Oryctolagus cuniculus: one gene and its partners. The protein of the gene in region 1 binds, or shares a complex with, the protein of each later gene. Links are inferred from orthologs where the notes say so. Each region holds a gene or a part of one and is shown in the gene's direction. Other genes may lie near its edges. The genes, in order: KLHL12, CUL3, PEF1 and PLEKHA4.

What was found.
Region 2: KLHL12 (region 1) and CUL3 share a complex: the UniProt entries of both Homo sapiens proteins name them as parts of the BCR(KLHL12) E3 ubiquitin ligase complex. The link is inferred for Oryctolagus cuniculus from reciprocal best matches to the Homo sapiens genes KLHL12 and CUL3.
Region 3: the proteins of KLHL12 (region 1) and PEF1 are in contact, whole or in part, in a crystal structure (PDB 8RBH), measured with the Homo sapiens proteins. The link is inferred for Oryctolagus cuniculus from reciprocal best matches to the Homo sapiens genes KLHL12 and PEF1. Residues at the interface, in NP_067646.1 of Homo sapiens: Phe289, Gln293, Arg320, Tyr321, Leu371, Glu417, Tyr434, Ile439, Phe481, His486, Cys511, Tyr512, Tyr528, Leu533, Cys558; in NP_036524.1 of Homo sapiens: Gly15, Gln16, Ala17, Pro18, Gly19, Ala20, Pro21, Pro22.
Region 4: the proteins of KLHL12 (region 1) and PLEKHA4 are in contact, whole or in part, in a crystal structure (PDB 8OIO), measured with the Homo sapiens proteins. The link is inferred for Oryctolagus cuniculus from reciprocal best matches to the Homo sapiens genes KLHL12 and PLEKHA4. Residues at the interface, in NP_067646.1 of Homo sapiens: Phe289, Arg320, Glu417, Tyr434, Ile439, Phe481, His486, Cys511, Tyr512, Tyr528, Leu533, Cys558; in NP_065955.2 of Homo sapiens: Pro177, Gly178, Gly179, Pro180.

What each region holds. Positions count from the first base shown.
Region 1 is NC_091444.1:18,665,698-18,671,842, reverse strand, and holds the start of KLHL12 (kelch-like protein 12), read left to right. Parts: upstream 1-2,768; 5' UTR 2,769-2,824; coding exon 2,825-2,954; intron 2,955-4,229; coding exon 4,230-4,468; intron 4,469-6,145. UniProt on the Homo sapiens protein: Substrate-specific adapter of a BCR (BTB-CUL3-RBX1) E3 ubiquitin ligase complex that acts as a negative regulator of Wnt signaling pathway and ER-Golgi transport.
Region 2 is NC_091434.1:14,738,229-14,743,674, forward strand, and holds part of CUL3 (cullin-3), read left to right. Parts: intron 1-1,521; coding exon 1,522-1,708; intron 1,709-5,446. UniProt on the Homo sapiens protein: Core component of multiple cullin-RING-based BCR (BTB-CUL3-RBX1) E3 ubiquitin-protein ligase complexes which mediate the ubiquitination and subsequent proteasomal degradation of target proteins.
Region 3 is NC_091438.1:140,789,212-140,794,657, forward strand, and holds the end of PEF1 (peflin), read left to right. Parts: intron 1-1,246; coding exon 1,247-1,402; intron 1,403-1,903; coding exon 1,904-2,047; intron 2,048-3,492; coding exon 3,493-3,722; 3' UTR 3,723-4,447; downstream 4,448-5,446. UniProt on the Homo sapiens protein: Calcium-binding protein that acts as an adapter that bridges unrelated proteins or stabilizes weak protein-protein complexes in response to calcium.
Region 4 is NC_091449.1:8,351,114-8,356,559, forward strand, and holds part of PLEKHA4 (pleckstrin homology domain-containing family A member 4), read left to right. Parts: intron 1-2,098; coding exon 2,099-2,146; intron 2,147-2,258; coding exon 2,259-2,339; intron 2,340-2,487; coding exon 2,488-2,637; intron 2,638-4,475; coding exon 4,476-4,574; intron 4,575-5,446. UniProt on the Homo sapiens protein: Binds specifically to phosphatidylinositol 3-phosphate (PtdIns3P), but not to other phosphoinositides.

The sequences.
Region 1 (6,145 bases):
CAGCCATTTGGGGAGTGAACCAGCGGATGGAAGACCTCTCTCTCTAACTCTGCCTTTCAAGTAAATAAATATTAAAAAAAAAAAAATAGGAAGGAGCCTTATCTCTATAGACTATCAATTTGCAATTAAAAGAAAACAGAACTTTTTTAAACTCAGGTGAGTAGACCCCAAGAAATTCCTGAATGCCCTTTTTATTTGTCCTGTCCTCAAAATGGGGTGAATGTTTTCCTGTAAATGAAGCAAGCCGGATGCAGGTGGATGCAAGAAGGAAGGGGAAGGCCCCAGGAGGGGGAAAACGTCCTAGGCTGCCTTGCAATCCGAGGAGGCCTCAGCAGAGCCCTTTTTGGGGGAACTCTGGTCCTCTGACCGTCCCATCTCCCCTTGGAAGTCTGCCCGTGAATCCCAGCCGCCGCCAGCGAAGCAGGAATCAGCCTCGGAGAAGCCAGGGTGCAAAGCTGGGGAGTGAGACTCAGCAGTGGCCTGGGCTCTGCTCGGGTTGCTCCTGGGGCTCGGGTCCCTGACAGGTGCATTCTTACACTGCCACAGCCTGGCAGTGCAGAATGCCATGTGTCTTGCCTGGCTGACTGCTCGATTCGACTTCCACTCTGTGCACCTGGATCCAGAATTCCAGGGCAGCTTCCCTGTCTTCCCTGAAATCCCTTGGTAACTATGTACACCGAGGATCAGGACCAAACTCATGAACTGACCTGTTTCAGACCTGGTCTTCCAGTATAGGTTGTAGGATGTCGGCTCAAGTATCGGAATGGCTGGAGGTATTCTTGTGTGGGAAGCATAGTGTCCCCATGAGTACACGTGCTGGGACCGTGCCCCTGAAGAACGGGGAAGCCTGAGTTAGAACCCCCCTGGGGTGATCTTTTTGCTAGCTGCACCTCTTTCAATCTCGGGTTAAACAGTGGGTATACTGGCAGGGGTGGGGCTCAGTCATTTAAGGGCCCCAAAGTCAAGTTCCCTCTCATATTTGGAAAAATTCCTAAGGTATCTGCCAGAAACTGGATAGTCTCACTAAAGGGATATTTTGCATCCAGAAAACAAGGAATTGTTTTTATTTAAATTGTACATATTTTAAGTCACATGATGCAAAGCTCAAAAGGCACAAAAAGAAACCTTTCTACCCTGTGTCATGATCAACCAGACCCTTCCCCCAAAAAAAACAATGTTACCATTTTGTTTTATACTTTGTTTCTTTTATACACATACGATCGAATATAATTGAATGTATCTTCTCACGTTTTGATACAAATAATAGCAAGACGACACCTGCTGCTCACAACAGCATGGTGCAGGGTTGAATGCACACCTTACTGAATCAGCCCTCCTAATGCACGTTGAGGGTTTTTCATCTACACACAACACTGCCGCATACAGTATACATGGCGGATACGTTGATAAACAATTGCGCAGCCAAAGGGTATCTGCATTCATACCTGTGATGACTTCCAAAACTCCGCAGAACTTGCCCCAGCCTTGCACTTCCAACCACAATGTGTAAACCAGGGAGTCTTCGGGTGGGAAGATTGCTTATGGAAGACAGAGACACCAAGCAAAGTAGCAGCCGCCCACCGTGCTGGGGTATCACCAACCTTAGGCATCAGAGGCCGCGCACAGGAAAGCAGTGTGGGCACTGACTTAGGTGGAACTGAGGAGCCCCGGCCCCTAACAATGCGTCCAAGTCAAGAAGAAGCAGAAGGCCTAGCCGCCCCCTCCCTGCACCCCCGGGGACGGCAGACAGGTCCGGCAGGGCTGCTCCGAGACCCTCGCAAGCCCCACTGTGACGCAGAGAACGCCCGAGGTCTCGGGGTTCTCGCCACAGCACTAGTCGGCGCGAGGCCGCCACTGTGGACCGTGGATTTTGAGACAGTTGCAGTGTCTCTGGGTTTCCTGGATGACAGGCAGTACCCGAATCCCTGGCAGGTAAAACGGAGCCCCTGCAGTCAGCGCCTTCGCCTAGAAGCCCTGGGAACGCTCCCCGTGGGGCCTGCCTCGTGGGCTGCGGGCAGAAAGAAACTCGGTTTCAGCGCATCACAGAGCTGGACGCCTGCGCGATCCCCTCCCCGGGCGCCCCCTCTCCTGCTGCTGGCCGAAGCCAGCCCCGGGCACATGCGGGTCAGGTGACGACGACGCCTCACGTGATGCCGACCCAGGGGAGGAGGGGGGCGGGCCTCGCTTGGCATTACGTCATCACGTCGCGCGGCCGCGGGGACCGGAGCCGGGACGCCCACGGTGACGGCCCCAGAGCCTCCGAGCGGGGGCGGCGGCGGCGCTCCGGCTCCTGCTGAGCCGCCTGCTCGCCCCGCTCCCCGCCCCGTCCCCAGGGACTGTGGCCGGGCTCGGCGCGGCCGCTGGGCCCGGGAGCCGAGGTGAGTGGACCGGAGGTGGCGGCAGGTAGCCCCTGCCTTCGTAAGGTGGTGGCCCTTCCCCCATTCCTGGGGCTCCCTCCGAGGAGGAAGGCGGGGGGGCTTCTGGCCTGCGGCACCCGGCGACCCGCGCCCCTCCGCTACCTCTGCCAGGCGGTGCCAGCCTAGCGCCCGGCGTGGTCCGCGGCGAAGACCTTCCTTCCTTCTCGGGAACTGACCCTTACCAGGAGTGGACACCCCGGCCCCGCCCCCAACCTGCCGTGGTGGAACCCCCGTGTTCAGGTGTGATCGGAGGTTCTAGAATAGGGCCCTTCCGAAAGGTAAGGGTGAGGCTGTGCTGAGGCTGCCTGGGGGGGCCGCTGTCCCCGCGCGAGGTCCTTCGGACCCTTGCATCCCAGGGTGGCCCTCGGTTGAGCGAAGGAAGACCTTTGTGCAGGACGCTCGCTCTGATGAATCACCGCCTGGTGTGCAAAGTGCCTGTGGCACAGTCGCTGGGTGGATCCTGTAGAGTGATGTGCGGACCATGGACAGAAGTAGATGAGTTTGGGGTCTTGTTTTTGCTCCTCAAACATCCTGACCGTGAGTTGCGAACTTTTTTTAATTTCTTGGATTATTTTTGAAAGTTTTGGATTCCCAGTAAGATGTACTCTCTTAATGACCACCCCCCATTTCACTCCCAGAAATTGTGCCTGAAGCCAAAGGAGAAAAAAAGGCTGTGAACTAGCACCTGTTCCTTAAGTTGCTGTTAGGTAGGGAATCACTGAGCTGATGCGCACAAGTGAACTTTGGGGCACAGCCGTCCCTTGGTGTCTGCAGCGCATTGGTGCCAGGAGCTGCCACAGATACCAGATAGGCTGGCACTCAGGTCTCCTGTAGAACGCTGTGTTTGCATGCAGCCTACCTAATGCATTGTAACTGCTGTGTAAGTGGTTTTGATACTCTGCTTAGGCAATAATGTCAAGGGAAAAACCGTGTGCATGTATAATACCCATGATTTTTTTTTCTCAAATAGTTCTATCTGCAGTTGGTTGACGGTGTGGGTGGGGAGCCATGGGACAGAGGGCTGACTTGTAACAGGCCACGGCAGCGATGGCGGTGAAGTTGGCAGTAGAGGGATTTTAGGTTTCTATCCTGACAAGTTCTCTGAGTATAGAAGAAGTGCTGTGAATATTGATGTGTTAGCATTGGTGGACGTTCCCAATCGTGTAGAACAGGAAGACTCCTACTGAGGAGTTTTGACGACTCTGGGGAGACCACAGATGGCTTGCGTGGTCTCTGCTATTCAAAGCAGGTCCCAGGTTGTCGTTTGAAATTTCACTTTCAGAAGAAATGTAATTATATTTGGAAATCCTGATGCATAATTCTTTGCATCTTGTATTTCTTTGGAAACCAGTTCATTTTCACCAATACTAGCCTTTCTTGTTCTAAGTTGAATACACTGTTTTTCTTATATTTAATTGTTAAATTTTAATTGTGTACCTGCTAGGGTCCATATGAACCAAGAACCCACCCTCTGAATACTTATTCTCTTATGAATATTAAATAGCCATGATGTCACACCTTTAAGGGATTTTACCTTTTTATCACTTGAGACAATCCCATGAAGATACATAGGCCTTTCTGTTTAGAATACAGTTGAGCACCGATTATAATAAATTGCAGGTGGCAGGGACACTCATGACAGAGGACTTGAGAGGAAGCAGGGCTGCTCCTTAAGCTAGAAGAGTTAGCGGCCAGATGGCGGTGAGCCCAGAGAGCGCAGGGGCTGTCCCTGTGGGCGTCTGTGCCTGCAGAGGTCTCAGCCCCCGTCTGGGAAGCTGATGGCCTGTGTGCCTCTGTTGCCTTCTCTTGCAGTTCCAGGACCCAGGGCCCCCTCTGTTCTTTCTCCATATTGCTTGATGGGAGGCAGGATGGCCCCCAAAGACATAATGACCAACACGCATGCTAAATCCATCCTCAACTCGATGAACGCCCTCAGGAAGAGCAGCACCCTCTGCGACGTGACGCTGAGAGTGGAGCAGAAAGACTTCCCCGCCCACCGGATCGTGCTGGCTGCCTGCAGCGACTACTTCTGCGCCATGTTCACCAGCGAGGTAAGCAGGCCGCACCCGTGCAGCCCATGCCTGTAAGCGCCTCGCCTCGCCTCACCGAGGAAGACAACCCAAGCTTCATATGGTAGTGGAGTCTTGTAAGACGCTGTGTAAGCAGGCAGGCTTATTCACAGTGAGATCCGCACATGCCTGTGCCTTCGTTTTCTCACCTCTGAGTTAGAGATAATAGTGCTGCCCAGTGCGTCACGCAAGGCTGTGGCGAAGACAGAAAATTACGTGTCAAGTGCTTAGGACAGCTTAGTGGGTAATGAGACGTTATTGACTTTGTGTTGGTTTGTTTTTAGAGATTGACTTATTTATTTATTTGAAAGTCAGAGTTACACGGAGAGAGGAGGAAAGGCAGAGGCAAAGAGAGAGGTCCTCCATCCGCTGGTTCACTCCCCAGATGGCCACAATGGCCGGAGCTGCACCCGATCCGAAGCTGATAGCTTCTCCCGGGTCTCCCACGTGGGTGCAGGGGCCCAAGGACTTGGGCCATCTTCCACTGCTTTCCTGGGCCACAGCAGAGAGCTGGATGGAAAGTGGAGCACTGGTGCCTGGATGGGATGTCAGCACTGCAGGCGGTGGCTTTACCTGCTACGCCACAGCACTGGCCCCCAGCTATAAAATTTGCCTTCACATTTTTCTAAGCTTTAATTTTTTTTTTAATTATTTGAGAGGCAAAGTTACAGAGAGAGAGAGAGGGAGAGACAGAGAGAGGTTTTCCATCTGCTGTTTCACTCCCCAAACTTGACCACAACTGCTGGAGCTGGGCCGATCTGAAGCAAGTAGCTTCTTCCAGGTCTCCCTTGTGGATGCAGGGACCCCAGCACTTGGGCCATCTTCTACTGCCTTCCCAGACCACTAGGAGGAGCTGGACTGGAAGTGGAGCAGCTGGGATTCCAAACCAGCATCCATATGGGATGCTGGCACTGCAGGTGGAGGCCTAACTTACTATGCCACAGCTCGGGCCCCTCCCCAAACAATTTTTGACTACTATGCCTCCCCAGCTTCTGATATATGTTTATAATCTATTTTCATTTATTTTTAAATGTTTATTTTTATCTACATGAAAGGTAGAGCAACAGAGAGGGGGAGAGAAGGAGAAAGAGAACCATCCACTGGTTCATTCCCCAAATGCCTGCAACAGTCAAAGCCAGAAGCCAGAAACTCCCCCTTGGTCCTCCTGCGTGGGTGGCATGAACCCGAGGACTTGGGTCATCATCTGCTGCCTTCCGAGGCTGGTTAGCAGGCAGCTGGTCAGAGCAGAGCACCGGGACCTGATACAGGATGACATGGCAGGCAGTGGCTCAGCCTGTGGCCCCACGGCACCGTCCCCTGTAATCTAATTTTAAAGCCAGTGCAGTTAATGATGCTGTGAACCAGCACTCAGTCACACTGCTGGTAGGAAACACGCAGAAACCTAACAGGTCATTCCAGCTCCTCCAGGCTGATGTTAAAATGACCTCGTGTAATGCAGCGTTATAGGTCACCATGCTGTACGGTTCTGGGTGATCCCTGCCCGAGAGCATCAGAAGCCGGGCCCTTTCTCGGGGAGGAGAGTGTCACCCAGCAGCCGCAGCCCATGAAATGCATCCAGGCTGCTGGCTGCTAATTGCATGTTGTGCTTCCTGTTTGGTGTCAGCTTGAAGAAAACCTGTCTGCACTCTTTTAACCCAT
Region 2 (5,446 bases), on another chromosome or scaffold:
AGCATTTTTAGCTCAGTAAATAGGCAAAAGAAAAATATGGTGCTAAAGACAGGAGTGAGGGAATGGATATCATACATTGTTGTACGGGTTACATTTTTAAGCATTTAAAAGGCAGTTTGTTGGTATCCATCAAATACAAAATGTTTATGACTTGGAGAAAGCCAATATATTTCTATAGAAGTTTTCTTTAAAAAAATCTGGCAGTTGTGTTCAAAGACAGAAATGGGTATAGCAGGACAAAGTTGAATCCACTCTCAGTCTGTATCTGTATCATGATAGCAATGCTGTGGAATTCCATGTAGCTTTAATATCTATGCTAATGTGGAAAATCTGAAGAAATTAGTAGAAAAATCCCTATGTTATTATCTCATTTATGTACAACACTCATATTAGGTGTAAATAGGAGGGTGTGTTCATATACATAAATGTAAATGTGTGTATTTGTATTCATGTTTATATAGGTGAATAGGAAAAGGTATGGAAAGATATATAGTGAATTGCAGTAGTTACTTCTGAGAATTAGCTGTAATTACCAGAGAAATAGCCCCTAAGAAAGTATTTTTGGTTTTTTGAATGTAGTTAAACAATAACTGTAATATGTAAGTCACTTTTAACATGCATAATATATCCATTCTAATAATAGTGTTATTTTAATTTTCTGGTATTAAAATTGGCAGCACATTTAGGATCATTTGAAGGAAAGGAATGTATATAATCACTGAAATTGGATCTTGAACTTGAAAATAGAAATCTTTCTGATTTCCAGATTTTAAGATTTTTGTTTTCATTTGATTACACACAGGCAGTAAATACAGTCAACTTAGATTGTAACTATTTATGGAAGACTGATGGACTGTACTCCATTTCGCTGGTTTACTCCCCAAATGCCAGGGCCAAAGCTTGGAGCCAGGAACACAGTCCAGGGTCTCTCATGTGGATATTAAAATTCAGCTACATGAGCAGTCACCATTGCCTCTTGGGACCTGCACTGGCAGGAAGCATAAGACTGAAGCTGCTCCAGTGCTAGGAGCTAGGCTCAAGCCTATTCCTGTGATGTGAATTTTAATTGTATAATAGAAGAACTGCGATTAGGCTCACTTTACTCTCTTTCTAGGAAAGATGTTATTAAGTGAACAGGAGTATACCTCATCCTGGAAGGAAAATTATAAAATGTTTCTAAAATCAGTAGTTACATGTTGGTTAACACTTTATTTTTACCTAAACATTAAAGTAGGTTCTTGATAATCTCTACTGGATGACATATTTGGATGAGGCATTATATCTCTTGGAACAAAAAAGAACATGTTTTAATATTTTGTAATTTAAATCACCCTTTTTCAGTTTGTTTAAACAATGAGATTTTAATGATAAGTCATAATATTCAGGGAATTCTTGTTGTAAATTATTTCTTTAATAGAATTACCTTGCTCTAACCACTGCTTGGTCAATTTACTTGCTAATTAACTAATGTGCTCTTAATTTTCCAATAAGTCTAATTATGTCAATCTGATGAAATTTCAGGAAATTCAGCAAGAGACAGATATCCCTGAAAGAGAGCTTGTTAGAGCCCTACAGTCCCTCGCCTGTGGTAAACCAACACAGCGGGTTCTTACCAAAGAGCCCAAGTCAAAGGAAATAGAAAATGGTCACATATTTACAGTTAACGATCAGTTCACATCCAAACTACACAGAGTCAAGATTCAAACAGGTATCTGGAATTATATTTTTCCTCTTAAAAAGATTATATTTTTTTCTCTAGAAAACATTTTCATCTGTTTCTATTAAAAAATAACGCTTTTCTAGTGCCGTGTGATTCTTACGCATAAGAAATAAAGCAATTTTTATTGATAAATGCTTGTATCAGAATGTAATTGAATCCAAGTACAATAAGCATTTTGGAAAGTAATTCATAATATGAACAAGGTACTTCTTTCCTTGTTTTTCAGCAAATGAAATTTTGCAGACATGCTAATACTTAAATTATTTTTAACTTGTTAACTAATAGACACTGGAAGTCTATTTTTAAAGCCCACTTACCATTTTTCAAAATTTACCTATGTAAAATTTGGTCTTTTAAATACAACTGTTTATGTTTTGATAAACATTTAGGATTCAAAATCTTAAATTATATATTATCTTGAATTCTGAGACATAGAAATTACAGTTTTGAACAGCTTGTAGTATAGGCTTCTAAGTTCATAGTGAAAAATTGTATCGATTATATATTTAACATAACGCGAAGTGTGTATTATCTATTTATTTAAGGGGAAGAAAGTACCCTGCTTTTGGGGATATTTAAAAATCATGTAGTTTACTGTCTGGTTTCAAAATTACTATTTAGAGAAGCTTCCAAGTACTATTTCATCCATTACAGCTTATTTATCTGTGTAGTAAAATAGTATTTTAGAGTAAGCTAGGTAAGATCAGTTTTTAAAATACCTATAGTTTTCTGATTTAAAAATAGATATTTAGTGAAAGATTAGTGTTAAAAATATATGATTACCAGAATACATTGATTCAAGAACTTTTTGTACATATTTCATTTGTTTTCCTCCTTGATCTTTTTGATTTTTTTGTATATATGCTTTGTGAACCAGTGTGGAGTGTCTATTAAAGCCTGATCAGCTTGTCTCATAGTTGGGATCTGTATCATTGTAATCTCAGCAGCCCAGATTGGCCCAAGTCTTTGTGACACAGAAATATTAAACAATCTTTAAAGTATCATGGAATATAATTTCTTTTCTCCTCTAGTGCAAGGCCTTTAAGCTTACAGATTTGGGCAGATGCAGGTTTTGGATTGGGAATTTCAGTGCTCATTTGTATCCTAGATTTCACAAAAAATATATGGGTATATATATATCTGAATTACCTGTGTTCACCCTGCTTTGCCCTGGATAAGTATCTTTGTAATCCCTGATTGCATCATGTCCAGTAATGAGCAGTTATTGTGGAAAAATAATTTCTGAATTTTTAGTTTTTGGTGTTAAGTTGTATGCAGCACATGTTTGTGTATAGCATGTTAGGTGTGATTAAAATAGAAATTGGTTTTATATGATGAAGGATTTGACTAGATGAGCTCTTGAAAGTTCTTTTCAATGATAAAATTCTGCAAAGAAGTATATTTTTCATTTGAGGATGGTTTTAGATGATCTTGGCTCTGAGTCATATTTTTTTAAGTGAAAATTTTCTCTTTGGCAGTAAATATTGTGACCATGTTGGTGCGTTGGTTTTCTTAAATTGCCAAAGGCTCAGTAACATCAAAAACACAGACTCTGACCTTTCCCTTTTACGCTGCTTTTGCTGTAGCCAGCAGTAGCAGTTTTGTAAAGAAGTTAACAAAATTATTAACAATACTCAATATTTGAAAAGAATTAGATTCGTTTTAGTCTACAGCAGTTTCCAGTGGTGACAGTACTCTCCATCTCACCACTTGCCTGCTTAAACTCCTCTTGCCTCAGCATACATATAGCTATATTTGTAGGCCCTCAAACAAGCAAACCCCTCTGTTCTCGTTAAGTACAGAATGTTGTGTTGGACTCTGTGAGTGAGGCCCTGTGCTCACATTTTTCAAAGCCATCATATTTTAATGTATTATGACCAGTCTTCTCGTTTATCTTTTTTTATGCATATTTAAGGAGTACACCTATTTAGGTGACCAAAGCCAAAAAATTTCCCCAACATTTTTTTCTTAAGATTTTATTTGAAAGTCAGTTACAGAGAGAGAGGAAGAGACAGAGATTCTGTCCACTTGTTCACTCCCCAAATCGCCTTGACAGCAAGGGCTGGGCCAAGCCTGGACCTCCACCTGGGTCTCACATGTGAATGGTAGGGGTCCAAGCACTTGGCTGTCTTCCCTGCTTTCCCAAGCACATTAAATAAAATACTTATTTTAAAAAATACATATTTTCATACAAAAATTTTTAAAATCAATGCATAGGTTTTTTCATAATACACATTTTCTCTGAACTTTTTGAAGGCCACTTATATGTGTGAATTTCAGTTTTTCCTTGTACCAAGATAAACATCTTTGAATTCTATTTCCCACAAACTTTTTGGAGTACTCTTATGTACCAGCCATTGAAATTTTTCCATATATGCTTTCTCTTCCTCCCCCTGTGTATGTATGTCTTTGTGACAGCATTTGAAATTGATTCACAAACAACACTTTCCCTCTAAACTTCAGCAGATACTTCTTAGAATGAAATATTTCCCTACATCACTGTAATACTGCATTACATATTATCTCTGTACCTTATTTCTGTGTCCTCGGTTGTCTCAAAGATTCCTTTCATACCTTTTAGAATCTAGGATACTATCAAAGTTTCTACATTATTTCATTTTTATGTCTCTTTACTTCCATTTGAACTAGTATCTCTACTTTAACTTTTCACATGACCTCTTTTTTTTTTTTTTTTTTTAAGGAAAAGTATTATTATGCATAGGTTATTTTCATCCATTCTGTTTTGCTAAGACATTAGGTTTTGGTTTTTTTTGTTTTTTGTTTGTTTGTTTTTTTTACAGGCGGAGTTAGACAGTGAGAGAGACAGAAAGGTCTTCCTTTTCCATTGGTTCACCTCCCAATGGCCGCTGCAGCCAGCGCACCCCACTGATCTGAAGCCAGGAGCCAGGTTCTCCCTCCTGGTTTCCCATGCGGGTGCAGGGCCCAAACACTTGGGCCATCCTCCACTGCACTCCTGGGCCACAGCAGAGAGCTGGACAGGAAAAGGAGCAACCGAGACAGAATCTGGTGCCCCGACTGGGACTAGAACGCGGGGTGCTGGTGCCGCAGGTGGAGGATTAGCCCATTGAGCCGCGGCACTGGCCTGCTAGGATATTAATTAGTAATAACACTGGGAAATGATGCTGAAAGCAGTATTTTTTTACTGAAGGATTCTAATTAATTAGAAACAGCTGAATGGATATGCACACCATAATGATTTTCTGAACTGTAGAGTGTGCTGTCTCTTGCCTTGCCTTAGTTAGCAGTGTCCAAAGATCTTGTTTGTGATTTCCCAATTTCTACCCCCAGAAAATTCACGTTTCCTTTTAACGACCAAATATGTCAAAAATCAATCTTCTGTTTTCTTTTTCTGCTATTTTAATTAGAATGAAGTTGTAGGAAAGAGGTCTGTCTTTTGTATTCCCTTAGCAGATGCTTTGAAGACTAGGGGAGGATAGAGTAATGTTCTGATAAAGCGTGCATGAATTTGTGATAAAGATAGTGACATAAAAAGCTCATAAAATGTATTACCAGAATTTGTTAGATAATAGAATTGTTGAAGATTCAGATAAGAAGTACAAATGAATTAACTTGACTGTTGGGAATTTCCGTTAACTGATGCCCTAGTGGTGTTTTTAATTACTTATTTAGCTGACAGAATCTTGACAGTACATGTTCTTTCCACTCATCAGTGCTGTAGAGATTACAACTGTATTTTGAATTAGA
Region 3 (5,446 bases), on another chromosome or scaffold:
TGATGGGGCAGTGCCGTCACCTCACAGGGTTGATGACAAGGATTAAATGAGAGCCCTGGCCTGTGGGAAGTGCTTAATCAATACCGTTCCACGAGAGGACTCGCTGTGGGGTGTTCTCGGCAGAGAAGAACTTGGCACTTAATGTGGTGGTGGGCATGCCAGGGGCCCTACCACTGCACCATGCTGAGGCGAGTGGGCGAGAGAACAATGGCGAGACGCGGGGGAGGACGGGCAGCGCTGTCGCAGGTGAGCTCCTGGACAGGACGGCAGGGGCGAGTCTCAGGTGGAAGCTTCTGCCACAGTGGAGATTTCTGGGCATCTCAGACAGAGTCGGGTCAGGGAGAGTGAGGGTCTGTCCCCAGTCCCCAGCTCATTGCAGTCAGCTGTTTTTCAGGTGATTGTTCCTAGGAGCCCAAGTCCTGGGGAGCCTGAAGGGCCTCCAGAGGGTGGCCGTGCTGGGAAGGCACAGCATCTGAGCACCCAGGGTGAGCCCCTGAGGGCGGTTCCAAGCCCTGCGAACCAGAAAATTCTGCATTTTGCCTAGTATCACACAAGCTGGTAAAGGTCAGAGGCAGGATTTGAATCCAGGTCTGCTTCAGTTCCAAAGCCTGAGCTCTTCTCCACACACCACACAGACCGCCCATGGTACAGAGAGTCTCCTGCCTGGGGCTGTGGCCCTTGTTCCCCCGCCCCCACCACACTGCTGTTTCTGGAGGGTGGCGGGGCCCTGCCTGGATTTCCCATCCTGGCAGGTCAGACCAGGCCTCAGGCAGGCCAGTCTTTTCCCTCACCTTTGGCGCTGACCGACTCTGCTCGGCTGTCCCTGGCCATCTCTGATGGTTTCTTGTGTGAAGGAGCTTCCGGTGTGGCCAGTAAGCTCTGTGGTTTACCACTACTGCGTAACTTGGGCCTTTTCCTCGGATAGACTTCTCTGCTTCTTTATTGTCACCCACCACCCTTCCCCTGTCCCTTAGCCCTCCTCCAGAGAACCCTTGATGTGCTGGAGGGGCTGGGCTAGGCCCTGTCCCTTAGAAACACAAACTTGCATAGAGAAGTGACCGCACGGAAGTCCGAGGGAGCCCTGGTATAGACATCAGCTGCAGGTACAAGAGAGTCTACGTGGGAGGCTGTCAACTTGATGAGAGGTGGGACAGGTAGATTTGTGAGGCTTTGTGGGTAAGAAAAACCTGTTGCCAGGGAGGCCCTTTCGTGTGGGGATTCCCTTGGTGTATGTCCCTTCCTCTAGGTGGCGCCCCTCCCGGTGTAGATCCTGAGGCCTACTCCTGGTTCCAGTCGGTGGACTCTGATCACAGTGGTTACATTTCCATCAAGGAGCTAAAGCAGGCTCTGGTCAACTCCAACTGGTCTTCATTCAATGATGAGACATGCCTCATGATGATAAGTGAGTCCCAGACCTACCCTGTGGGCGTGCACTGGGCCAAAGCCACCTGGGGGTTGACAGTAGGTGGGGAGGTAGACATGTAGGACACAGCGTTTTGGTCAAGGAGGATTTCCAGGAGGAAGCTGAGTTCAAGGTGAGATCCTTTAGATCGAGACTCTTGGATCTTTCTCAGGTTGACCCTGCTGTGTTAGAGGTGGCTCAGTGTTCTGTTCTGTAGAATGGGACTCCTTCCTCTGGTAGGAAACGGCAGGGAAGGTTCACCATGGACTCAACTGCCAAGCCTGTGAAGGAAGTGCAGTTCTGGGTGGGGTGGGGCTGGGGGCGTCCAGGGGAGGAAGCTGATGCAACACACTCGATACAGATGTCTTGGGTGCAGGCACTGGGCCTCTGGCCTGTGGTTCTGTGGAGTGTCACGCACCAGCCTGGGACAAGGGCTGTGGCCGTGGCTCCTAGAAGCCTTGGCCCCAAGTCTTGCAGCCTTCCTGCCTTCCCCTCCTTCAGACATGTTTGACAAGACCAAGTCAGGCCGCATCGACGTCTACGGGTTCTCAGCCCTGTGGAAGTTCATCCAGCAGTGGAAGAACCTCTTCCAGCAGTATGACCGGGACCACTCGGGCTCCATCAGCTACACGGAGCTGCAGCAAGGTGAGGACCACGCGGGGCACGGCGGGCAGAACAAGGGCTGTCCCTGTCACTCCCAGAGGCCCACCAGTGCAGGCCCACTGCTCCCACCCTTGCTGTGACCCAGCTGTGGCACTGAGCCCAGGCCAGGGCAGGGAAACGCCTGGGTCCAGAGTTAGCCCTGGACTCCCTGACTAAGTCTCCTGGCAGCATGAGGTGAGAGCCCCAACCGCAGGGAGCCTCGGGATGGGAACTCGACAGCCGGGGCACCAGACCAGTGTGTGTGGCTGGGGCGGCTCCTTCCCCTCTAGTGTGTGGCATACAGACTGCAGAATGGAAGGAGCCCTGTACAGAAACAGGTTCTGTTGTCACCTCTGCCAGACACCAGGTGGGTAAGATGACCTGAGGCCACAGCTCCCATCTGGTTCCAGTCTGACGGTAGGGTTCAGGCCAGTGGGTGAGAGGACAGGTGGCTAATGGAGTTGTAAGAAACCAGCAGGGAGCTTTGCCGCTTGGGAGGGGGGCAGAGCCGCCAGAGAGTCCAGTCTCTTGTCCGGGCTCTCTGGGTGGAGGTGAGCGCTCGGCATCTGTGCCTGGTCGGGGTGGGGTGGGATTTTGTCAGTTGCTGTAAAGGATATTGGTAAGGGTGAAACTAACAACCACTGCTGTCTGTGGAATGCTTGCTGTGTCTCGGACAAGCACTGTAGTAGCCTTTGCGCAGGTTTGTGTCATTCATGCCCATGTGTTAGCTATGGCTGATGCTTACTGTTCATGCCCTGTGGTGAAGGTCCCTTAGACCTCTGTTCTACACCTGGGAAGACCAAGGCCTAGAGTAGGAACCTCGCCAAAGGGCCCCCAGAGCAAATGGAGAACTGAGATTTGAACCTGGGTGGAGGGGAGGGAAGGCAGCGCCCCAGTGGAGGGTGGGGAGCACCCAGCAGCCTCTTCTGGGCAGATGGGGAGACTTTATTAGGATAGCAGTCACTGAGTGCCAGGCTCTGTGCTACTTGTTTTAATGATCGCCTCCTCTAATCCTCACCAGAAGCTGCAGACTCAGCGTCATCCACACTTTAGAATAAGAAAGGATATTGCGGCTAAGCAGCTTGCCCAGGGACTGACTCCGAGCTGGCCCTCGGCCCTCGGGCCCTCTGGGCTGGGCCAGCCGCCTTGATGTCAGCCGTAGCTGGGGTGGTCCTTGGGGCTCAGGCCTCCTTTTGTAATGCGGATGAGTCAGATGACAGTGGAGAGAACCTTGTCTGGACTTGTGAGCCAGATCACAGAGACTTGGAGAAAGGGGGAGGGGCCTTGCAGGTAGAGCCCCGGTTGTGCTCCCCTTGTGCAGACCCTCGGGACTCTCCTGTCCTCTTCACGCTCCTGTGTCGGTCCCCTCCGTGTTCTCTGAGCTGCGGCTGCTCTGGGCAGGGGCTCACAGCAGGTTTCTGTGTGTTCTGTGTGCCCTTCTTCTCCAGCTCTGTCCCAGATGGGCTACAACCTGAGCCCCCAGTTCACCCAGCTTCTGGTCTCCCGCTACTGCCCGCGTTCTGCCAGTCCTGCCATGCAGCTCGACCGCTTCATCCAGGTGTGCACTCAGCTGCAGGTGCTGACTGAGGCCTTCCGGGAGAAGGACACCGCCGTACAGGGCAACATTCGGCTCAGCTTTGAGGACTTCGTTACCATGACAGCCTCTCGGATGCTATGACCCAGCCCACCTGTGGTGTGGAGTGCGCCAGGGGCCTCTCCCAGCTCCCTAGAGTGGGAGAAGCATGTGGGCCTCTCTTCTTTTCCTGCCTCTCCTAGAAAAAGATTCTCCTTTGCTTGACACAGCCCTCAGAGGGGTAGGAGTCTTGTGTCACAGCCACCAAATAGTGGGGACTTAGTTTGAGGCCACACAGATGGGGGACCTGACGTAGGAGAGAATGAGGTTGGAAGTCCTGACAACCCTGAGCAGTTAGTGGCACAGCCTGGCACCAGGAGCAGGTGCTCCAGTCATTACCGTGGAGTTCGTGTGGCCTGCTGGCCTCTGCCTCCGGCTTTCCCATCTACGCCCTGAGGCTCACCGTCTTAGCATTAGCACCTGTGTTCCTTCCCCCAGACTGTCCTATTGGATGAGCCCAGTTTGGCCAAAGTGGAGTTGATCAGGCACGGGAGAGATTTGCCCAGGGGACCAGTGGCTTGCCTTGTCCCATACCCACAAGTCCTTGTGAGTTACCTCTCTCTGCCTGGGGCAGTCAAGGCTCAGGGAGCTCGCAGTCTGCTCTCTGGGCATCTTGGACCCCTCATTCCCTGCCAGGCTCTGCTCAGCTTTCGTCCCCAGGGGACAGTTGTCACCTCTCACTGCCAATGCTTTTTTTTAATTTCTAGTTTTTTCATTTGGGGCCAAAAGTCCAGTGAAACTGTAAGCTTCAATAAAAGGATGAAACTCAAGTTCCACATTGTCCGCCATGACTTCCCAGCTACACTTGCCCATTCATTCACTGATTTGTTCTTTCATTCCATGAATACGTAAGATACAAGCCTTGCAGAACACGGCGGGGGCGGGGCGGGCATGGCCTCCATGGGCTGTTCTCACTGGCCAGCGTGAAGCTGCACTGTGGGGCAGCCAGGTTCAGCTCAGGATGGCTTGGAGATTAACTCAAATTGACTGTCAAGTTACAGTTTTTGGGCTGGAAACAGCCACCCCAAACTTGGCACAACATGGCTTTTTTATCTCCGGCCTTAGTTTTATCTTTCAGACAAACTCCGCTTATGAAGTCATAACTTTTCCCCCATTTTTATTAAGCACAGACATCTGTACCTGCCTGTCAGATCCCTAGATCAGCATGATACCCAGTCTCCACTGAGTGTCTATGGCGAGCTGATAAAATGTCAGTCAAAAGCTTTGCCAGGGGGGCCTTATCGCGGGTGATGGTGTGATTATCCCTTGGCTCTTTGAGATGAAGATAAGAGCTCTGCGTCCTAAGCAGGGCTCTCCCTGCAGTGCGTGGCTGGGGAAGTGGCTGAGACTGTTCCGCAGGTCAGTGAGGCCCAGCAAGCAAGTCGGGCTTGGCCATGCAGCCCCCTTCGCTCTGGGCTGCTGACATGCGAGAATCCAGTCAGATGGAATGCAGCTCCCAGGGCCATCCCCATCCAGAGCTGGAAGCCCCTGCAGGGCCCCTGTGAGTCCGCACTCTGTTAGGCAACCTCCAGTGACAGAACTCAGTGCTGGGGTGGGCGTTTGGCACAGTGGTTAAGATGCCTCACGGGATGCCCACGTCCCATATCAGAGTGCCTGGATTCAAGTCCTGGCTCCACTTCGATTCCAGCTTCCCACTAACACACACCCTAGGAGGCAGCAGGTGATGGCTCAAGTATATGGTCCCTGCCACCCGCCTAGGAAACCCAGACTGAGTTCTGAGCTCCTGGCATCAGCCTGGCTGAGCCCCA
Region 4 (5,446 bases), on another chromosome or scaffold:
AGATCTTGTATATTCAGGTATAGCAACTCCTATACCTGAATTCCTGTTGTGTGTGTGTGTGTGTGTGTGTGTGTAGAAAAATACGAAACATAAAATGTACCATATCAATACCTTTTTAAAAATTAAAAAAGAAATTCTAAATCTGTTTCTTTGAGAGGCAGAAGGAAATCTCCCATCCACTGGTTCACTTCCCAAACGCCCGCATGGCTGCAGTTGGGCCAGGAGCCGGGAACTGAATCCAGGTCTCCCGTGTGGGCAGCAGGGACCCCATTGTCTGAGCCGTCACTGCGGCCTCCCAGGGTCTGCATGAGCGGGAAGCTGTGGCCAGGAGCCGAGGCTGAGGACCCAACCCAACCCAACCCAGGCGCTCCCATGGGGGACGTGAGCGCCTTAACCAGTCTCTTCTCCACTTCTAAGTGTGCAGTTCAGTTACGTGTGCTAAACACAATACAGTCAAATGAAACAGATCTCTAGAACTTGTCTATCTTGGGGCTGGTTCTGTGGCGTAGCAGGTAAAGCCGCCGCCTGCCGTGCTGGCATCCCATATGGGCGCTGGTTTGAGTCCCAGCCGCTCCACTTCTGATCCAGCTCTCTGCCTGGCCTGGGAAAGCAGTAGAAGATGGCCCAAGTCCCTGGGCCCCTGCACCCATGCGGGAGACCTGAAAGACACTCCTGGCTCCTGGCTTCAGATCGGCGCAGCTCCAGCCGTGGCAGCCATATGGAGAGTGAATCAGCGGATGGAAAACTCTCTCTGCCTCTGCCTCTCTGTAACTCTGCTTTTCAAATAAAAATAAATAAATCTTAAAATAAATTTTAAAAAGCACATGTCCATCTTGTACAACCCTGTTCCTTTTGAACAGCTCACTGTTCCCTCCCACAGCCTCTGGAACCCACTGCCCTGCTGTGTGTGTCAGTCGGTTTAGCTGTGTGCATCTGTCAGTTTAGCTGTGTGCGTCAGTCAGTTTAGCTGTGTGCATCTGTCAGTTTAGCTGTGTGCGTCAGTCGGTTTAGCTGTGTGCATCTATTGGGTTAGCTGTGTGCATCTGTTGTTTAGCTGTGTGCGTCAGTCAGTTTAGCTGTGTGCATCAGTCGGTTTAGCTGTGTGCGTCAGTCGGTTTAGCTGTGTGCGTCAGTTGGTCTAGCTGTGTGCATCTGTCGGTTTAGCTGTGTGCGTCAGTCGGTCTAGCTGTGTACATCTGTCGGTCTAGCTGTGTGCATCTGTCGGTTTAGCTGTGTGCATCTGTCGGTCTAGCTGTGTGCGTCAGTCGGTTTAGCTGTGTGCGTCAGTCGGTCTAGCTGTGTGCATCAGTCGGTCTAGCTGTGTGCATCTGTCGGTTTAGCTGCAGACTCCTCATGGGAATAGAACCCCGTGGAACTGGACTTTGGGGACTGGCTGATTTCATGGAGCCCGGTGTCTTCAAGGCTCTTCTCTGTTTGTGCAGCGGGACTCGCTTTCTGTACGGCCTGAGTGGTGTTTGCGTGGATCGATCACACTTCATCTGTTCACACGTCATGATCGGAGAGTTTGGGTCTGCTCTTTGGCTATTATGTGCAGTGCCGCGACAGACTGGGTGTGCCAAGATCTCTTCAACACCCTGCTTTCCATGCTTTTGGAGATGAGCCTTCCTGGTGGTTTTAAAGCCACTCGAATGGGGTCTTACGTTCTCATTGTGTTTCCCAGTTCTTAATGCTGTACAGCAGTGCCCTTCGTTTACGTGCCGTCCCCTTGCATCTGGGTCTCTGCCGAATCCACTCATTCGCTCTTGGATTCTGTTGCTTCTTTGGGGTGGAGGAACGTGCGACCTGTAAACATTGATGGCTTCACCGATCCCCCTCCTCTCCTTAGACCTTCCCGTTTCCCCTCTTTATAGCACTGGTCAGGGTCTCCGGTGCCACGTTACACCGTAGTGGCCACAGTCAGCTAAAGTTTCCCCATGGATTCTGCCGTTTGCTGTCGCTGTTTGATCCCATTGAATGTTCCGAAGCTGACGCTCAGAGGGGCGCTAACAAGCAGAGGGGGATAAAACGGGCAGGGCTCAGTGAGCTACGGTGGGGACCTGTGTGCACCCTTTGACCTTTGACTTCTCCCCCTCTTCAGCCAGGTCCCCCCTTGGACTCAGCCTTCCACCAAAATTTGGAGACAGATGTAAGTTCTCCCGAATCTAACCCCTGCTGCTCTCCGACCAGGGGAGGGAGTGTTCCGGATGGTGGTAGGGGGCGGGGGGTGCGTGCATAAGTAGCTCCTGTTCTTCCTCCAGACTCTGCTGACCAAGCTGTGTGGGCAGGACCGGCTCCTCAGGAGGCTGCAGGAGGACCTGGACCAGAAGCAGGAGGAGAAGGTGCCGGAGGGCCCCAGCCCCTCCCCTGCCCTTAGCCCTCCCTGACTGTCGGGTCCGGATGCTGGGTGGATGGCAAGGTGGGGGATGCTTGCCCTCTCCTGTGGCCGGGGGTGGCCTCGGAAGCCTGACCACCTCCCTGTCGCTGCAGGAACAGCTGGAAGCAGCCCTGGAGTTGACCCGGCAGCAGCTGAGCCAGGCAACCAGAGAGGCTGGGGCTCCCGGGAGGGCCTGGGGGCGCCAGCGCCTCCTGCAGGACCGACTGGTCAGCGTGAGGGCCACCCTCTGTCACCTGACTCAGGTGAGCCCCGGGGAAGGGGGAGGCCCTCCCAGGGGGTCCTTGGGGGGCACATCCATGGACTCACGGGAGCGTTCCTCAGAATTCCAGCCTCTTAAACTCTAAACCAGGAACCGGGGCCATCCCAGGGCACGGGAGACAAGCGTAAGGTCCACAACTTAAGTCAGCACTTTCAGAGGGTGATTTCATTTTTTAACTTTTTAAATTTATTTTTAAAGATTTTATTTATTTTGAAAGATTATTTATTTGAAAGGCAGTGTGAAAGACAGAGATTCTGTGTGCTAGTTCATGGCTAAAATGGTCACAACAGCCCAGCCGAAGCCAGCAGCGTGGAACTCTGTGGAAGTCTCCCACATGGGTGCAGGGCCCAAGTACTTGGCCATCGTCCGCTGCTTTCCCAGGTGCGTTAGCAGGGAGCTGGACCAGAAGTGGAGCAGCCGGGATTCCAACCGATGCTGGCATGTCAGGCAGCATCTTAATCCATTATACCGCCACATCGGCCCCTAGTTTTTAAATTGTTTTGAAGATTTACTTATTTGTTTGAGGGCGATGGAGAAAGGTCTTCCATTTTTCCATCTGCTGATTCACTCCCCACGTGGCTACGACAGCCAGCACTGGGCCAGGCGGAGGCCAGGAGCAAGGACGTCCATTCTGGTCGCACACTTGGGTGGCACGGGCCCACTGCTGCCTTCCCAGGTGCTTTACAGGGTGGCCGGGACTTTAGCCGGCGCCCGGGCTCAGGCAGCAGCTGACCCTGCCACATCACACACTGGCGCCCCTAAGAGGGTGATGTTAACGTGGGCTTCCTGGATCCGAATCTCGACTCCCACTCCTAGTAGCTGTGTGACCTTGAGAAGAGTCACTTAACCTTTCTGGGCCTTAGGTGCCTCCTAAAAATAGTATTTACTTTGTAACGTCACTGTGAAGATTGCACGTGTGTGTGTAAATGAATGACTAAACCAGTGAAGGACCCATGACTTGGCTATAATTATGACATATGCATGATGTAGACAGATGCTTACATGGTGAGATTATTGTTTACGTGTCTGTAAGGCGGAGACAATCACAGACCCCTCCTCACGAGAATTAAGCGGGTGTGTAAGCTGCTGTTGTGACGGTCAGTGGTGTGGCGAGGAGGTTTGTGCTGCCCAGAGGTGTGTGGCTGCCGTGGCACTGGTGTCAGCTGTGTAGACTCTGCCCCCGTGGAGTAGCTGTGATGTCAGCTGTGTAGACTCTGCCCCTGTGGAGTAGCTGTGACATCAGCTGTGTAGACTCTGCCCCTGTGGAGTAGCTGTGACGTCAGCTGTGTAGACTCTGCCCCCCCCATGGAGTAGCTGTGACGTCAGCTGTGTAGACTCTGCCCCCGTGGAGTAGCTGTGACGTCAGCTGTGTAGACTCTGCCCCCGTGGAGTAGCTGTGACGTCAGCTGTGTAGACTCTGCCCCCGTGGAGTAGCTGTGATGTCAGCTGTATAGACTCCACCCCCATGGAGTAGCTGTGACATCAGCTGTGTAGACTCTGCCCCCGCCATGGAGTAGCTGTGACATCAGCTGTGTAGACTCTGCCCCACCCTGTGGAGTAGCTGTGACATCAGCTGTGTAGACTCCGCCCCCGTGGAGCAGAAGTAACCCTGGGATTCCGGGAACGCTGTTCTTGGTCCACACCAGCAGCTCACTGGAACTGCAGGTTCTACCAGGTGCTGGAGCCCCACCTGGGGATTATTGTCTGTGTATCCCAGGGCACGGGAAGCAGGCTCCCTCCCTTCTTGTCAGCCGTGGAAAGGTGGGGTGGGGATGGTGGAGTGAGTGCTGACCTCGTGTCTCCTGTGTTCTGGAACCTGAGGAGCGGGAGCGGGTCTGGGACATCTATAGCGGCCTGGAACAGGAGCTGGGCACCTTACGGGAGACGCTGGAGTACCTGCTTCACCTCGGGTCACCCCAGGTACCTCCCTGCTGCGGAGCCTCCGGCCCTCTGTCCACTCTAAGTTCCCCTGGAAGCCTTCTTGTCCTTGGGGTGGGGGTGGGGGCTCCTGCTGTCTGTCCTTTCCTCCTGAGGCGCTTGGTTTGCAGACCGACTTTGAGATTCAGAGCCACTCTCCCCTGGTTCTACTCACGGCGCAGCCTCCTCTCCGTATGCAAATTCAGCTTTTGAGTCAGCACCCTGCCTTCACTGTTGCTTCTGTCCTCTGCAGCCTCAAGTTCTAGGCCCAATCCTGAGTTCAAGCCCCACTCCTAACATATAAGCCCAGTGCTCAGCCTCAGTCCCACTCCTCCTAAGCACAGCCGTGGCATTCTACATCGCGTGTGTGTAGTTGAAAACATTACCCTCTAGTTAAATCTGTGAAGTGCCTCTTCCCAGATTTAAGCCCCACTGTCTTCACCGTGAGCCCCTCCTACTTCATCCTAAAATCCACCCCATGACTCCAGTCCACTGCCTACTGGACTTAAATACATCTTGGCACCAACAACACATAAAAAGAACAATGGGTAACACCCAAATTGGGTTTATTACAGGAATGCAAGGTTAGTTTAACATTTGAAAACCAGATCATGTGTTTCACGATATTTAAGAAAATAAAGGCAAATAGATGAATGGATGCAGGAAAACATATCACAGATATGTTGGAAGTGAAGCCATTTTTACGTGCAGATGACATGTAATGTCGAAAATCCAAAATAATTTCCAGTTAAATTAGATAAGCAAATTCAGGAAGGTGAATATGCAAAAACCAACTATCTTTCTATGTGTTAGTGCCAAACAGTTGGAAAATGAATATGTAAAAACTATATAATTTATAATAACAGAAAAAGGGA